Linked DNA regions of Cricetulus griseus. The protein of the gene in region 2 interacts with the protein of the main gene of each other region in a biochemical or structural test. Links are inferred from orthologs where the notes say so. Each region holds a gene or a part of one and is shown on either strand. Other genes may lie near its edges.

The links. The genes of interacting proteins can lie anywhere in the genome.
Region 1: the proteins of Klhl12 (region 2) and Lnpk form a complex in vitro, tested with the Homo sapiens proteins (2 studies listed by BioGRID, with this or other methods). The link is inferred for Cricetulus griseus from reciprocal best matches to the Homo sapiens genes KLHL12 and LNPK.

What each region holds. Positions count from the first base shown.
Region 1 is NC_048599.1:100,589,166-100,592,602, forward strand, and holds the end of Lnpk (endoplasmic reticulum junction formation protein lunapark), read left to right. Parts: intron 1-1,357; coding exon 1,358-1,596; 3' UTR 1,597-2,872; downstream 2,873-3,437. UniProt on the Homo sapiens protein: Endoplasmic reticulum (ER)-shaping membrane protein that plays a role in determining ER morphology. Involved in the stabilization of nascent three-way ER tubular junctions within the ER network.
Region 2 is NC_048598.1:54,767,206-54,770,862, reverse strand, and holds part of Klhl12 (kelch-like protein 12), read left to right. Parts: intron 1-2,256; coding exon 2,257-2,406; intron 2,407-3,657. UniProt on the Homo sapiens protein: Substrate-specific adapter of a BCR (BTB-CUL3-RBX1) E3 ubiquitin ligase complex that acts as a negative regulator of Wnt signaling pathway and ER-Golgi transport.

The DNA.
Region 1 (3,437 bases), on a different chromosome or scaffold from region 2:
TGAGTATAGGAAATTTTGTCTTTTGCTTATCTCATATGGTTTAATTACTTTTCTGCTAGCAAGAATATTAAGTTTATTATGAAATAAAGGGAAATGCTTAAAGCTAGATTTTCGCCTTTGACTTGAAGATTAGATGACTCAAAGCTTTCGCTGCTTCTGTCACTCCCTTCCCCACCTTATTCTTTAATATTTAAAGAGTTTAAGAAAGTTAATAAACTTTTTGTTATTAAGAGATTTAAATTAAAACTAAAAAATAATTAGAATTCAAAGGGAGTAAATTTTCATGTAGGGACAAACTTTCGTGTATAGACAGAAGGCAAAAGACCTCTTCTTTGTTCTAGCACACTAAAGTATGTAGCATATTCTAATTCCTAAATTTAAATAGTGAGGGCTTGGATAGGGATAAAGAAAGACAAGACATACAGTTGGAAAGGTGGATTTTGACTTCTCTCATCCTTGAATAATAAAGATGTATATAAGGTCTGGAGAATCCTGTCTACATATACATACATGTACATATATGCATATACACAAAAGCATACATTTATACATTGCTTACAGTTTTGCTTAGGTGTAAGGAAACAATTTTCTGTTCAGTAACAGGGGAGAGTATACATTTTGTTTTGTTTTGTTTTCTTGAGTCTTATTGTCTTCTATTGCTGTGATAAAACACTTAAAACAATTTCATGGAAGAAATGGTTTATTCACCTTATAACTCCCAACTCCCTGGTCACAGTCCATCACTGAGGTATGTTGGGTCAGGAACTCAAGAGTCTCCAGGCAGGAACTGAAGTGTGTACTGCAGAGGGGTGTTGCTTACTGGCTTGTTCCCCATGACTTGCTCAACTTGCTTTTTAAAAATTTAACTCAAGGTCACCTGCCCAAGGGTAGTACTGTCCACAGTGGGCTGGTGGGTCCCTCACATATCAATCATTAATCAAGAAATGCCCCAATCCCACAGGCCAGTCTGATGGAGGTGGTTCTTCAGTTCAGTTCCCTCTTTCCAGATGACTTGTTTGTGTCAAGTTGTCAAAAAAAAAAAAAAAAATTCAATGCACTATAAATTCTCATCCTGTTGGAGCCAGGGCTCAATTTTGAACATTGAGCTTGCAGATGTATCTTTAGAAGCTTAATGTATATGAAATTATAAAAGTATGGGTTTATTTCCTCCAATTAGTCAGTTATACTAATACCTAAGTGATATGCTAGAGAGTTAAGAACTTATTGTAGAAGATTTAAAAGGTAATAGACAATTCTACTGTTTCTTAGTACGTGTGTCTGTTTATCTTTGATTTTGCCTTATTTAGCAGTCTTGACATATGGATATTCCTGAAGTCTGATGTCTTTCTCTTTACAGAATCTTTAGAAGGACAAGATGTTCTTGATAATAGTACAGAGCAGAGAGATGACAAAATACCAGTGACAGAGCAGACAAGCCAAGTGATTGAAGAAACATCTGGTTCAGAGGAACCAGAGGAGAAACAAGAAGAGACTGAGAAAGAGGAAGCATCAACAGACGAAGCCAAGTCAACAGTTCTCAGAGCTGACTCTGTTTCTAATCTTGAACCAAGTGGAGAATCTTTGGTGACACAATAGTAAATAATCCCATGTGCCTTCAACTGGATTATTTGTAGTCTTGTTGATGTCAGTTATTGCTTTTTTTTTTGTGTGTGGTACTCAAAAAAATTACTTTTTAGATATATGCTTAATGCTATTCAAATTCAAATTGCCTAGCAAGTTCAGTGTGTTCAAGTCCCATCAACTGGGCATTGAAAGTAAAAGCACGTGGTATCAGTGAATGTGCAGAGACCCACATAGCTGTTAGAGACTTTGTGCATTCTAAAGTTTAAAGAAAAGAAACATTTTTGTTTTCTACATCTATAACTTGTAAATAATATCCATTTTGACATAGGAACAATTTTGGCTAGGAATAATTTCTTTAATAGTGCTTAAGGATTGAAATATAATTAAGATTTTGAATACTTCATCATTAAATTTTAACTCCTGAGATATTTGCCAGTGGGAAGGAAATATCTATTTAGGTGTTTACATTAAGTGATACTGAAAGCTGTAACCTTATTTACATAGGCATTGGTACGAATTCTCAAGAAGAATGCAACTGAACAGTCAAGTGCAGAGTTTCTTTTGATGTCTTTTGTTTTGCAGCTGGGCCAAAGCCACGTGATGTATATAGTTAGTTTATGTTTACATATTAACAAATAGGAACTGCATCTGCATTTGACTGTACTTGAATTCTTGGTATTATTTATATTTGTAAAATAATGATGATATATAAATGAATTTTTTGTGTGCTTGTTTTGTTAAGGAAAATAAAGATGACCTGGCAGTGTTTTTTCTTTGTTAAATATCTAGACTTTCTTCACATAGTGTTTTGATGGATGACTAGCTATCTGAAAAAAAATCTTGTTAGGAGAGTCCTCTGTATGATAAATACATAGTAAATTATGATGTTTTTGTTTTTTATTAGACTTTCAAATTCAGAGAAATAAGAAATTTAATGTTTTTAATCAGAAGTTAGCATTTTTGGATTTTGAAACACATTATGCCACTTGTAGTTTTTAACTTTGAGAGACAAATACGTTTTTGGAGTAGGCAGTTAACTGCTAATAAAACTCACTGGATTGAGTATGTATCCCAAGGATCAGGTGGGAAGATTTTTGGTATAGACTAGTTATTCTTAAATATAATATCATAATTTGTTCTAGCTTTCTTTTATGTGTCTTTTCCAATATTGAAACAACTAGAAATGAAGTTATTATGCTATAAGGGAGACATGTTAGCATAATGTATCTGGCTAATCTTTTGGTTGTAAATATTCATTTAAATTAAATATTCTTTTTATAATTTGAAAGTTTATGTTTATGGTTTAATATCTCATGTGACATATATTGAAGAACCCAGTTTGTTAATAGTTTAAGGCATTTTAGTTTAGTGCCCATAAATTCAAGCATGTGGAACTAGACTTGAATGTCAGCTTTGTAATCTTGGGCATTTCACCTAACCTCTCTGCATACCTATAAAATGGGGAGAATAATATCTGTTTTCCATAGGTACTTGAATGATTAAAAATAATTTATATGATGTGCCTAGCTTTCTTGCTGGATAATTAGTAGATACTAGGTTACATGGTAGGATTTATTATTATATTAATTATTATTATTGAAACCCTTGTGAAATATGGAAGGCCCATAGATTCTGTCTATGGCAGATAATGAAATTTAAAAACCATGATCATTCAGTTCAGTTGCTCTGAACAGAAACAGTTTTCTGTATTAATGTCATATACATGTCTTTAAGTGATAGATAAAAGAAATGGAGAACTGAAACTATGGAATATAATCCTTTTATAAAAGGTGTTTATTTTTATGAATATGAATTTTTCACTTGAATATGTATGTATACCACATGTGTGCCAG
Region 2 (3,657 bases):
TGGTACCCAATTCACTTTATTTATTTATTTATTTATTTATTTTTGGTTTTTCGAGACAGGGTTTTGGTTTCTCTGTGGCTTTGGAGGCTGTCCTGGAACTGGCTCTTGTAGACCAGGCTGGTCTCGAACTCTCAGAGATCCGGCCTACCTCTGCCTCCCAAGTGCCGGGATTAAAGGTGTGCGCCACCACCGCCTGTCCCTAATTCACTTTCTATCCTAACTTGTATTATCAACCCCAAACTATCTTTTTAGACCTCCAAACATTTTCTAGGTAAATAATTTAAGCTTTTATGTCTCTCAATCTTACACCCTTTTTACCTCTTTTGTGAGTTTCTTTTCTGAATTTGGTAACAAGGAAAACTGTAACTATAACCATTTCATCTTCAGCTCCGTCAGAGACGGAAGAAGGATATAATGTTACCTGAGTAAACAGGAATTGCAGGGCAAACAACTTCCAAAATTATAGACATGACAGAAGCAGCTGGCTGCCTGGACAGTCACTGAAATTCCTCTTCAATGTTGTGGCATCCATCTTTAGTCTACAGGCCTAGAATATCTGACAGACTTTTCTGTGAAGCAGGATTTTTGAAGGACAGTCCTACCTTGTCTTGGCAGAGTTCAGCAGTTGTGCTGAAAAAGTTCAAAGTTCTTTTGTGTCCTGCTCATCCAGTTTAGACAGCAAACCATCAGCATTCGATGCAAGGGCAGTTTCTTGCCCAGTAACTAGCTTTGCCACAACAAAAGCAAACTCCATTTGGAGGTTCTTTGAGTCCCATTATCCGTTTTTGAAGTAAATTGATGCTGTCATGAGCAGATGTGCCTCACTGTCGTGAAAAGCCTCACGATATTAAGACATCTTAAATGCTATATTCTATAGGTCTCTGAAGTGTTTGAAGACCACCTATCTAAATTATATCTATGTTTAACCTTAAAACATAACTACAAATTTATTATAGATGACTAACTACTGTATTTCTTAATTATGCATTACATTTTTAAATGAGGTACATAAGTAAAACACCTTAAACAAGAGCAGAAACATATACATTATAACAAAAATAACCTTAAATTTGTATCAGTATACAAAAATCTTTATCAGTGTGAAATATTTGAGATTAATAGCTGCTTTTTAGTTTAAAGTAAATTCAATAATCTAAGCTTTTATACTATTCCTTCTATCTATCTAAATGACGAAATTTTCTGTTACTTTTGTCTTATAACTGCTGTTTTCCTATATAATTTTAATCACAGCCAAGAGCATACAACTTTATAGTTGGTAGCCCTCACCTATAGTCCCAGCACTTAGGAAGGGTGAGATGGGCAGATAAGATGAAGGTCAAGCCTGGCCTACAAGGACTGTACTTGATTTGTTTACCATTATGTAATCAGTGTCACTAAGGTCAGTGTTTAGCACTTAGCAGAAGTTCTGTAATTCCATGAAATGAAAGGACATGCCAAAACATGTCTGCTTTCCAAAATACCATAGGCTGTGGGGAGCCATGTCCAGGTGGTGTTTCTGTTTGCTTTCATCTAGTCAGTCAAACTGAAAGATACCTCAGCTTACACACTCCCAGAGACTACTGAGAGAACATTGGGCCTACATATAGGTGTCTGTCTGTCTTTGGAAAATCCTAACTCTTATTGTACCTATTGCTTTTCTGGTGGCATAATATAGACTTAGAGGGTGTATCTTACTTTATCTACTTGCATATATAATATAAGTTCCATAGTATTCACACACACACACACACACACACACACACACACACACACACACACACACACATATATATATATATATTATATATATATATATATATATCTGAAATTATATGTCACAAACAGCACAGAATCTAGCATATAATAGTTGATGAAATGCTGGCCATGCTTTGAAAGCTGCAGCATTATTTATGATGATAAAGTGAAATTCCTGCTTCACTTTGTGAATACAAAGTTAACTGAAGTTCCAGAAAAGACCATATAAAAATTCAAGAATGGATACAATGGAAGGCCAACATGTGACCGATGGTTTATTAAATACTATCTGTCTTAGTTCTTTTTAAATTGCATATAATTCTCTTCCTGTATCTGAAAAGATTGTTTTCCCAGAATCTCCACATTTCTGGAAGATGGGAAATAACAGTAATGGAGAACAGGGAGCAGAAAGGAGAAAGTAAGCATGGTTGTTTTTCAGTTTGTGGGAAACTTTCTAACTTGGAAAGCAAAAATCCATGATGTACAAGTGTACATTTGCAGGTGGATTCTGAAGAGCCAGTCTTTGAGGCTGTTATCAACTGGGTGAAACATTCCAAGAAGGAGCGAGAAGAATCCTTGCCTGACCTCTTACAGTATGTTCGGATGCCCCTGCTGACCCCCAGGTACATTACAGATGTGATAGATGCTGAGGTAAGTATGTAAGGCTATGGGTATCCAGAACCTTCATTAACTCCACAGCTTAGTTTGTATAATTGAAAACCAATATTTTTAACATAGGGTCACCTGGTTCCCTTCAGCAGGAATGCTGGAGAGATAAAGCTGGGAACTTCTTAGGTATAAGAAAAGGTAATTGCAGGCTGGGAACATGGCTCAGCAGTTAAGAGCACTGGCTGCTCTTCAGAGGACCTGGGTTCAATTTCTAGCACCCACATGGCAGCTTATAACTGTCTGTAACTCCAGTTTCAGGGAATCTGACACCCTCACACAGACCTGTATGTAAACAAAATACAAATGTACATGAAAAAAAGAAATGTTAATTGCTTAGCATGTCAGGCTTCTGTCACAAATGTAAATCCACAATTTAATTTTGTGTGTAGGGGGCAGTGTAAACCACACCTGCTAGAAGCTGGCTACAGGTGTGCCTGACCACGCCTGTTAGGGCGTGGTCAAGGTGAGGTCAGGAGACGAGTGATAGGGTTTTACGGGGCTGCAAGGCACATGGGAGCCCCTTCTCTCTGGCCTCCCTGCCTTGTTGCCCCTGGCCTTGGGCGCCAAATACTAAGAAATAAAAGGATCCTGGGATAAGGATATCTTTTATTAGAAAAACACCAGCCAAACGCAAGCCAGAGCATGCCAGTACATTCAATACTTCAGCAACTTGTTACAGATTAACAGAGTGTAAGCAACCAAGGTATTTTTGCTCAGCCAGTTCTTTTATTGGCAGGCTGCATTTTGTGGTTACAAAGAAAGGATTGAGCCAGGCGTTGGTGGTGCATACCTTTAATCACAGCACTCGGGAGGCAGAGGCAGGCAGATCTCTGTGAGTTCGAGGCCAGCCTGGTCTCCAGAGGGCGTGCCAGGATAGGCTCCAAAGAGACACAGAGAAACCCTGTCTCGAAAAACCAAAAAAAACCAAAAAACAAAAAAACAAAGAAAGGATCGATCATTTTATTACTTATCTCAAAAGGTAATTTTATGAGGAATCTTAAAAGAATCAGAAATCGGGCTGGAGAGATAGCTTAGAGGTTAAGAACCTCTTCCATCCTTAGTTCAATTCCCAGCAACCACATGGGGGCTCACAACCATCTATAATGAGATCTGGTGCCCTCTTCTGGGATGCAGGCTGAACACTGTGTACATAATAAATAAATAAATAAATAAATAGATAAATAAATAAATAAATCCTAAAAAAAAAGAATCAAAAATCTAAACTTTTATAAA